Linked DNA regions of Macaca mulatta. The protein of the gene in region 3 purifies or fractionates together with the protein of the main gene of each other region. This does not show direct contact. Links are inferred from orthologs where the notes say so. Each region holds a gene or a part of one and is shown on either strand. Other genes may lie near its edges.

The links. Proteins that work in one complex are often made in the same cells at the same time.
Region 1: the proteins of IKBKB (region 3) and BTRC purify together in Homo sapiens (affinity purification with western blotting; 3 studies listed by BioGRID). This does not show direct contact. The link is inferred for Macaca mulatta from reciprocal best matches to the Homo sapiens genes IKBKB and BTRC.
Region 2: the proteins of IKBKB (region 3) and RIPK1 fractionate together in Homo sapiens (co-fractionation; 3 studies listed by BioGRID, with this or other methods). This does not show direct contact. The link is inferred for Macaca mulatta from reciprocal best matches to the Homo sapiens genes IKBKB and RIPK1.

What each region holds. Positions count from the first base shown.
Region 1 is NC_133414.1:113,608,823-113,612,322, reverse strand, and holds part of BTRC (F-box/WD repeat-containing protein 1A), read right to left. Parts: intron 3,213-3,500; coding exon 3,102-3,212; intron 1,442-3,101; coding exon 1,363-1,441; intron 703-1,362; exon of another isoform or gene 1-702. UniProt on the Homo sapiens protein: Substrate recognition component of a SCF (SKP1-CUL1-F-box protein) E3 ubiquitin-protein ligase complex which mediates the ubiquitination and subsequent proteasomal degradation of target proteins. Recognizes and binds to phosphorylated target proteins.
Region 2 is NC_133409.1:180,151,694-180,154,739, reverse strand, and holds the end of RIPK1 (receptor-interacting serine/threonine-protein kinase 1), read left to right. Parts: intron 1-1,566; coding exon 1,567-1,853; 3' UTR 1,854-2,546; downstream 2,547-3,046. UniProt on the Homo sapiens protein: Serine-threonine kinase which is a key regulator of TNF-mediated apoptosis, necroptosis and inflammatory pathways.
Region 3 is NC_133413.1:44,370,593-44,374,664, forward strand, and holds the start of IKBKB (inhibitor of nuclear factor kappa-B kinase subunit beta), read left to right. Parts: upstream 1-1,272; 5' UTR 1,273-1,436; coding exon 1,437-1,465; intron 1,466-1,669; coding exon 1,670-1,787; intron 1,788-4,072.

The DNA.
Region 1 (3,500 bases), on a different chromosome or scaffold from region 3:
GCTCACACTTGTAATCTCAGCACTTTGGGAGGCTAAGGCAGGAGGATCGCTTGAGGCCAGGAGTTTAAGACCAGCCTGGGCAACATAGTGAGACCCTGTCTCCACAAAAATTAAAACGGTGCTGTGGCTAGAGCCTGTAATGCCAGCTATACTCGAGGGCTAAGGCAGGGGTACTGCTTCAGTCCAGGAGTTGGAGGTTGCAGTGAGCTATGATTGTGCCACTTCACTATAGCCTGGGTGACAGAGGAAGACCCTGTCTTATACATACACACATAAATCCAACAAGGAAGACAAGAAATATAACCTCTTTCTCTTCTCCAGAGCCAAGAATGCCTAAATGTTGACAGTCAGGATTTAGTACACTGGGTTTCAAATGCTTGCTCTCATCTTTTCTCTGAGTGCTGCAAAAGATTCTGTCCACCCTGTTGCTCCAACTAATTTTCTAATGGAAGCAGTATTTATCAATCTGGGCCCCTGGCTAACAACATGATAAAGAATTTAGTGCTTCTGAAAGTGATATTTCTCCTTCTGAATCACTTTTTTCCCCAAATGTCAAAAGTGGATATATGGGGAATAAAAAAGATGGGTTCAAGTTGCTGGAGGCACTAGCTCATGAATAGGCTGCAGAACTAAGGGGCTGACCAGCAGGGGTTCATGCAGATTCCCAGAGCACTTTTTTTTTTTTTTTAAGATCGAGTTTCACTCTTGTTGCCCAGGCTGGAGTGCAAGCGTGATCTCGGCTCACTGCAACCTCTGCCTCTCAGGTTCAAGCGATTCTCTTGCTTCAGCCTCCCGAGTAGCTGGGATTACAGGCGCTCACCACCATGCTCAGCTAATTTGTTTTTATTTTCAGTAGAGATAGGGTTTCACCATGTTGGTCAAGCTGGTCTTGAACTCCTGACCTCAGGTGATCCATCCGCTTTGACCTCCCAAAGTGCTGGGATAATAGGCATGAGCCACCGCACCCAGCCCCCAGGGTAATTTTTGAAGGCACAGGTGTACAGGTCCTCAGATTTTGGACAGGTTCCAATTTGAGTAATTATATTCTCTCTCCCTTAGTACCCCCTGCTGTTTCTGGTGGATACAGAATTCTTATTCACTTCCTGCACTAAACTGTTGTGTAGAGTTTCTGTGCAGCTGTTAAACAGCTGCCACATTTCTCTCCATATATAGTCTCTAAAGCATTTTTGGATGAAAGGAATTATATAAACATATTTTATTGTCATGTACTGGTTGCCTTACCACTTAGTTGTAGGTTTTGTGAGGTTGTAACTATTAAATTCAAATCCATATTCCACAGCACATCAATGTTTAATTTCTTCCCCCACCTGCTCTCCAATGCTCTAACAGCAAGGCTCTTACCACAAGGGTCCGTAGACAGAGTGTCCCTGCAGGAGCACGGGGGTCCAAAGCAGCCACAAGATCCCACACTTTAATTTTTCTAAAGATCAAAAAGGGGACAAAAATGCTAGTTAAAAGCAAAAGTAAGAGAACACAGGGAAGAACAGCAGAAATTCATGGCAATAAATATGGATGGTGAGTATAGTTGAAATGTACGTGATTAACCTACAAATGAGAAACAGGCTAGCTTTAACCAAACTGAAGACATTTAATAGTAAAGTTAAACCACACTTTGGGATCAAGAGGAGATCTTGTACATTAGACCTCCTAATGATATTACATAGACCTAGAAATCTACAACTCTGAGGCATCCTCTTCCTGGTCACTTCTAAGAGTGGCCCAGGTCACATGTACTGAGGGACTGGGGTCCATGTAAGAGCAATGGAGTTTATATAAGTAAGCCCTCATCTTTTGATTTAAATAAGTGTAGCTCTTCCAACAACCTTTTATAGGCCATGTTTCCTCAAGGTACATAACAGACAAATTCCAAGACAGGTGGGTACAGATCAAAGCCAGGGCAATAAGAAAATATTGTCTTGACCAAGCTGGAACATGTCACCACACTCTGAACAATTTCCCAAGGTTGTAACAGTGATGGCTGACCCAAAGCAGAAGAAGTGAGCAGCTTCTTGCTGCTTGCATTGGCTAATTAATGTATCAGTATAGTTAGCTCATGAACTAAAATAATGTTGTTAGTTTCTGATATTTAAAAAGTTGCCAATATTTGAACTGTAGCTTTCTACCCTTCACCCCCCAAATCAGGCAGTTTGACAAAAAGAAATGATAAGGAGTCCTTCGTAAGTGAATAACTTTTTTTTTTTTTTTTTTTTTTTTGGAGATGGAGTCTTGCTCTGTCGCCCAGGCTGGAGCATGGTGGTGCAATCTTGGCTCACTGCAACCTCTGCCTCCCTGGTTCAAGCAATTCTCCTGCCTCAGTCTCCTGAGTAGCTGAGATTACAGGCACCTGCAACCACACCTGGCTAATTTTTGTACTTTTAGTAGATACTGGGTTTTGCCATGTTGGCCAGGCTGGTCTTGAACTCCTGACCTCAAGTATCCGCCTGTCTCGGTCTCCCAAAGTGTTGGGATTACATGCACAAGCCACTGTGCCCAGCCTACTTTTGTTTGAATTTACTCTGTGTTTAGGATTGGTGGACGTGGGGTCCATTCACAACATTAATGGATTCCATAACCACTAGAAATTAGAAGAAAATAAAGATGACTAAACTCATAAATGAAATGCTAGGATGACAAGTGATGACAAGAGAACTGTACTTTTAAAAATTACTAAAAGAGATAAAGAATCCAAGAGATCAAAATTGGAGATCTTACCACACTAAGTCCCCAAATACTGCCCTCTAGTGTTTGTGTTTTGTTAACAGGTTACCACTTTACATGGGTAGCCTGTTAACACTGGGTTTTTCTTGTTTTGCTTTACAGGGCAAAACAGTGAAATACATAACCAAATAACCAAAATATGAATGACAACCATGTGCAAACAAGTATAATAAAATGATTGGAAAGAATATTTCAGGACACTAAACCAAGGAGAGGTAAATATACAGATTAAAGAAATATGGTATCACTTTGTGTAAAATCTATAAGCTTTAGAAACAAGGAATGGTAATGTTTAACACCATAAACATAAGGAAGGATTAAGACGTAGATTTTCTCTTTTTACACTCTGTTAGCACACTCACCCATCATAGGCCCCACTGACTATCCTCTTGTTATCAAATCGAATACAACGAACCAATTCCTCATGGCCTTCTAACACTCGTAAACATGCACCACATTCTATGTCCCATAATCTGGAAGAGAAAATTGAGTCAAGTGAATTTTCACGTATTCTTTTCTAAGCCTGGAATGTTATAATACACTTTATATGCCTTCTAAAAATTCACAAAATAAAATCAATCACCACCCACACAGATATGTACTGCTTTCAATGTAATTTATTTCCTTTCTGCTATATAACTCACACAGAAAAATGTAGGTTTAAGTTCAAACATAAAATGTATTTTCAAAGCACAGTGCTTTATATAATTCTGTAAACAGGTTCTTCCAGGTATAAAAACGAACTCAATGCACACAGTTGC
Region 2 (3,046 bases), on a different chromosome or scaffold from region 3:
TGAGGCCAAAACAACTTGATTAAGAACCCAGCTTTCTAATTAACCATGGGATTGGCTATTTTTTTTTTTTTTTTTCTGTAAAGGAACCAGTAGGAAATGTTAGGCCCTGCTGTCTTTGAGGTCTCTCTTGGAACTACTCAACTCTCTTATTGTAGTGCAAAAGCAACCACAGACAATACACACGTGAATGAGCACGGCTGTGTTCCAATAAAAGTTTATTTACAAACACTGGCAGGGAGCCAGATGTGGCCCACAGGCCATAGTTTGCTTTTAAAATACCTAGAACAGAAATTCTGAATGGTCAAGGGCACCTGTGAGAATCTAATGAAACGCGGGATCTACCCCCTACAGAAATATTGACAAAATTTGGAAAGTATGTTGGGAAGTTCTTGGACTGCTGACAATCGACTGGTGGCAATACAAGCCACATTATGGAGGGCTGAGGAAAGAAGGGAGGTTGAAAGGAAAAATGAAATATTTTCTTCCTTATGTTCTGTTTAATGAGGTCGTGTGGGGATTAAGGAATTTTTTTGTGGTTGTTTTACATTTTTGTTTCCTTTTATTATTTTTACGAAGGGCTAAGGGAAAGAACCAGTAGAAGGAGAGAGGTTATGGCTATTTGAGAAGAGGCAATGTCAGTTGGCGGCGGGGTGGAGTAAAGGAGGGGAAGGGTCCAGAAACAGACCTTGAAGAGTAGTTACCTTTGTCTTGAAAGACAAAGAAGGCATTGTAACTGAATGGGTTCACACCTGCTGGACAATTCCTTGATTAAGTAAGAGGAAAGTGAACTGTTGGGCGGGGGTGGTGGTCAGGAGTTGCGTGGCTTTCACTCTGGCCAGATGTAAGTGGAAAATGTCTAAAAGGAACAAAAATGGTGGTTTTTCCCTTTACATCCAGGAACGTCTAATACCAACAGGGTCACGGGCTAAGATTGAATAGAACACCCAACCTGGTAGCCACATAGGGGTTTTGTTCACAGAGCCATCAGCTGTGGTTCAGGGATGTGTCTACTGGGAGGAAGGAATGCCTTATTCTTTTTTATTTGTTTTGTTTTTGAGACCACATCCTGCTCTATGGTCCAGGCTGAAGTACTGTGGCACAATCATGGCTCACTGCAGCCTTGAACTCCTGGGTTCAAGTGATCCTCCTGTCTCAGCCTCCTGAGTAACTGAGGAGTAACTGAGTACAGGCATGTGCCACCATACCCAGCTAATTAAAAAAAAAAATTTTTTTTTATAGAGACAGGGTCTTGCTATGTTGCCCAGGGCTGGTCTAGAACTCTTGGGTTCAAGTGATCTTCCTGCCTTGGCCTCCCAAAGTGTTGGGTTATAGGCATGAGCCACCACGCCAGGCCAGGAATGCCCTATTGTAATTCACATAAAGACTGCTTGTGGGCTAGCAGGCATGTGAAGTGTCTCCAGTGCAGCAACAGCTGTAGAACTAAGAAGTTATCTTTTCCCTGTCTTCTGGTACTCTTCATTTCACTTGGGTTTTTTAGCAGTTCAGGAAGCTGGAATGTTTGAATGGGCTTTAGCTTGACACCTTCTTCTCTTTCCCATTTGGCAGATAATACCACTAGTCTGACCGATAAACACCTGGACCCAATCAGGGAAAATCTGGGAAAGCACTGGAAAAACTGTGCCCGGAAACTGGGCTTCACACAGTCTCAGATTGATGAAATTGACCATGACTATGAGCGAGATGGACTAAAAGAAAAGGTTTACCAGATGCTCCAAAAGTGGGTGATGAGGGAAGGCATTAAGGGAGCCACAGTGGGGAAGCTGGCCCAGGTGCTCCACCAGTGTGCCAGGATCGACCTTCTGAACCACTTGATTTACGTCAGCCAGAACTAACCCTGGATGGGCTATGGCAGCTGAAGCGGACTCCTCACTTAGTGAATAACCCCAGAAAGCTGGCTGCCTCAGAGCATTCAGAATTCTGTCCTCACTGATGGGGGTTCTGTGTCTGCAGAAATATTGTTTCCTGTATTTCATAGCTGGGGAATGGGGAAAGAAGTCTGCAGCAAAGGGGTCTCACTCTGTTGCCCACGCTGGTCTCAAACTTCTGGACTCAAGTTATCCTCCTGCCTCGGCCTCTCACAGTGCTGGGATATCAGGCATGAGCCACTGCGCCCAGGCAACAATCCGCTCCGAGGAAAGCGTAAGCAGGAAGACCTCTTAATGGCCTAGCACCAATCAAAAAATGACTCCTAATTGGGTTTGGAAAGGGAGAGAAGAGATGTCTGAGGAAGGTCATTTGCTTTCAGCTTATGGCATTTCCTAGAATTTTGCTGAAGCAAGAAGAAAAACTCAGAGAACATAAAATCAACTTTTAAAATTGTGTGCTCTCTTCTTCACGTAGGCTCCTGTTATGAACAAAGTACAGTAAAATTCTAAGCCCTGTTCAGAGACTTTTTGAATCACAACTGCAGCTCATTGCCACGTTACAGAGTCTGTTAACATGGCTATCAAATACTGTATCAGTCACTATAGGCTCTAAGAATCACATGCAGTCTTCACTCCATTAAATTATCGATTTTTTAAAAATTAATTGAGTTTATATTCAGTTTTCAAATTAACCGAACAGATTTAAAGGGGTACCAAGGAGGGGGGAAACATCAGATCTCCCAGACAGTTGTTGCAAGGAAATGCTACTAACTGTGACTACAGCAGAAATTCTTGATTGACTTTGAAAGTTACTTCCTGGCATTCTGGTACTTTCACCCAGCCTGGGTGCCCTGGAGAGGGAACAGGAAATGCTGATCTGTACGCCTGGGTGAGAGCAGAACCTCAGGGCTGACACTGTTGAGTGGCTTCCTCGGTTTGCTCTGTACCGTGAAAGTATTTTCATATTTTTCTGTGTGCCAGAGTGAAAAAGGACAACTCCTGACTGTGGGAATTGTGCCTGTAGCACCCAACCTTTCAGAGTCCACCTGAAACCTGGGGGTGGATGAAGGAACTAGAATAGTTCAGAAGACTGAAGCTGGGTGGGCCGCTCAGCGTCTCCACTGGCGTTTTGCTAAACAGACAGGGAAGGCCGTGTGCTT
Region 3 (4,072 bases):
ACACTTCAGCCTGGGCGACAGAGCAAGGCTCTATCTCAAAAAAAAGAAAAAGAAATGAGGCTGGAGCAGTTGGGTGAGAGGTGGGGTGGTAAGGAGACAGCCCGAAGGGCAGGTGCTATGTGGCTGTCGATCGGTGTGTACATGTGACCTCGGAGCACCAGGAGGTGATTGCAGGTGACACCTGAGGACTGGAGATCCCTCCCATGCAGCAGACAGGGTGGGATTTGGCCTGCAGCTCGCTCTGCTGGTCCCCACTGTGCTGTTTCTGTAGGAAACAGGTGAGCAGATTGCCATCAAGCAGTGCCGGCAGGAGCTCAGCCCCCGGAATCGAGAGCGGTGGTGCCTGGAGATCCAGATCATGAGAAGGTGAGGGCCTTGTGCACCCCAAGGGAAAGCTGGAGCAGCAGCCCCCCGTGTGTCTAGAAAGGAGAGTCTTGCTGGGCACGGTGGCTCACGCCTGTAATCCCAGCACTTTGGGAGGCTGAGGCAGGTGGATCACGAGGTAAGGAGATTGAGACCATCCTGGCTAACACAATGAAACCCCATCTCTACTAAAAATACCAAAAATTAGCCAGGCTTGGTAGTGGGTGCCTGTAGTCTCAGCTACTTGGGTGGCTGAGGCAGGAGAATGATGTGAACCCGGGAGGCGGAGCTTGCAGTGAGCCAGGATCGCGCCACTGCACCCCAGCCTGGGCGACAGAGCGAGACTCCGTCTAATTTAAAAAAAAAAAAAAAAAGAAGAGGAGAGTCTTAAATCTCTGCCCCTCCATCAGGGCGCCAGCCCGACAGTCTCCACGGTGACTCTGCTGCTTCTAAAGATGCCAGAGGAAGAGCAGCTAAAGTCCACACTGGGCCTTGTCGGGGACTTTTCATCAGTTTCATTATATTAAATAAGTTAACACAGTTATCACAGTGACTTTTCCTTTGTCAGCAAAAAAAAAGCCTTCTTTCCTCCTGTATTTCCAGTTCCAAGGTGGTACATGACCGTTCTCTGCTGTCATGCTGCCGCTGACATTTATTCCTCTAGTGTGGAGACTGGGCCGTCCATCTGCCCGGTGGCTGCTGACCCCCTAGCTAGTGAGGTGGGCTCCGAAAGAGCCAGCGAGGAGGACACCAAGCAGGGGCTCCTCTGCCAGCCTCTTAAAAAGAGGAAGTGCCATTTGGTTACATCATGGTTCTATCTGGTTACACATGAGTTCCTTCTCAGATCCCTCTCTGTGTGTCCACCTTGGGGTGATGTGTGTGGGTGAATCAACCTGCCGAAAAATAAACAGAGAAAAGAAAAAAAATACGAGAACAAAAAGAGCAGGCACCACCTTGTTTGCCTGCTTGCATGTGTGACACATCCCCCCCATGTGGAGGGCATGAGATTGGAAGGTCTTCAAAGGAGCAGTTTGGCAGCACGATGAGGACTTGGGATGTAGCACGCACAGAAAATGGAAGTTACACGGAGTGTGCCCTCAGGGTCTGAGTTCTGGTGCTGCGGGTGGGGCTGGGTGCACGCCACTGACCGGGGCATTGCAGTTGGCCACCCGTACTGGGCTCTGTCTTCCTCTGTTTCGAAGCCCTGGGTTATCCTGGGCCTTTGTTGCTGAGACCTGATGGGGGTGATAGGGATGGGTCTGGGCAGGAGTCTGGCTCTGCTCTCATCGGTTTTCCTCCTTCCTAGGCTGACGCACCCCAATGTGGTGGCAGCCCGAGATGTCCCTGAGGGGATGCAGAACTTGGCGCCCAATGACTTGCCCCTGCTGGCCATGGAGTATTGCCAAGGAGGAGATCTCCGGAAGGTGAGGCTCCCGCGGCTGCCAGGCATACAGCCTGTCTGGGCAGGTGGGACACCAGGAAGGGGGATGGGAAGACCTTTCACTTCTGTCATCATCAGGAAGCTTGGGGACCCCCAGCAACTCCAGCAGGGCTGCTTTGCCTCTCAGATCCTCTGTTCCCTGCCCACCTGGGGCTGGTGTGTGTGTAAGTCAGAGGCACTTCCGAGAACACCAGGGAAGGGGGAAGGGCGTGCTGCACACTCTGCTGGGATTATTCCAATGACAAGGAAAACTCATCACAGGTTTGGGCGTGGGGAAGGACTGGGCAAGTTCCAAAACAAATGCTTCCTCCCTGGGCGTGTTAGGGCCACGTTAGGCCTTTGGTGCCAGCGCCACTGCTCTCCTTATTAGGAGGGATCTTATTCCAGAGATGGGACAGCACCACACATGGGGGCAGGGAGCATAGAAGAGAGGGAGTGGGATTCATGATCAGAGAGCTGGGCCAGGGCTGCAGACCTGCCCCAACCCATCCGACCCACCCAACCCACCTGACCCACCTGGACTCATCTGTGGGGCTCTGCTCTCCACCTTCTCACCACACCACCTCCTGTTCCCTAGAGTGTTCACTTCTGGTGGGTGGATGGCAGCCCCTTCTGGTCTCAGGGGCAGTTGGGTGCCCTCCTCCCCGTTGTTCCCTATGATAGTACCACATAGCCTGCTAGTACATGTTACCTCATTCGATTTCCAACAGCTCACACATGAGTGCACAGGTATGGTTCCCACATCACGGGTGGATATCACAGCCCAGAGAGGTTGGGCCTCACACAGCTGTAGCAACAGAGACTGGGTCCCAGTCCACACAGACCTAGCCGCAGGCCACCTCTCCATCTCTAAGACTGAATAAGGCCATATAACATGATAACTGGAAGCTCTGAACAAAATATATTTTTTTTTTGAGACAGAGTCTCGCTCTATTGCCCAGGCTGGAGTGCAGTGGCGTGATCTCGACTCACTGCAGCCTCCGCCTCCTGGGTCCAAGCGATTCTCCTGCCTCAGCCTCCCGAGTAGCTGGGATTATAGGTGCCCGCCCCCATGCCCAGCTAACTTTTGTATTTTTGGTAGAGGCAGGGTTTCGCCATACCAGCCAGGCTGGTCTCGAACTCCTGACCTCAAATGATCACCCACCTCAGCCTCCCAAAGTGCTGGGATTACAGGTGTGAGCCACTGCGCCCAGCCAAAAAAATTTTTATTTTAATTGAAAACGAGGTCGGTTACTCTGCGAGTGCACCTCTTTACTTTGGAAGGGTCACAATAGTGAGGGTGGGAGCCCAGGCGTTTATTCCCTTTCAGTGGCTATTCCCAGACACACTTCAGGTGCTACTCTTACTGTTCCTCCAGGCCCTTGTGCCTCTTAAAAAAAAAACAAAAGCTTTCCACTTTGGGAAGCTGAGACAGGAGGATAGCTTGAGGCCAGGAGTTTGAGACCAGCCTGGGCAACATACCAAGGCCCTATCTCCTCAAAAAATAAAAAACGAAAAATTAGCCAGGTGTGGTAGTGTGCGCTTGTAGTCCCCACTATTTCGGAGGCTGGACTGGGAGGATGGCTTGAGCCTGGGAGGTTGAGGCTACAGGGAGCTATGATTGCGCCACTGCATGCCAGCCTAGGCGACAGAGCAAGACTCAGTCTCATGAAAAAAGATAATCCTGTCTCAGAAGAAATAGACAGATAAATAAAATAAAAGGAAACTTGCCGTGGGCTTGGCCTGCCAGAGTGGCTCTCCCTGGAGATAGGCATGTCCTGGGAGTGGCACTCACAGCAGGATATGAACACAGCCCTTGGCATGACCCACAGTGAGAGATGGGGGAACTTGACAGCACTTTGATTTTTTCCTTATTTTTCTAACCTTTGACAGTCACCCATTACTGACTGCAGCTGTGTAGAGATAAAGCCATGTTGTAGTCAAGTGGAGACTTCCCAGAGGGCAGCCTGGAAGTAGGTGGGATGTGGCCAGATTACAGAGGGCTCTGAAGTGAGGCAGAGGCTTTTAGACTTGGTCTTTTAGGTGGCAAAGAGCCAATGAGCCAGAGAAGAAGAGATGGAAAGTTTAACATGACTGACCTGGCGTGGGTTGCAGGATGATTGAGGGGGAGGCAGGAAGGACTCGCATCCTAAGGAACCCCTATCCTTGCTGTCACCCAGTGGGGTTAGGGGAGGACACTGTTGCCCACTGTCTTGTTGTCTGTTGTTTCCTTTGTTCCCTCTAAAAAGTTCAAATCTATAATACATCCGTGGGCAAGGAGAGGCAGGC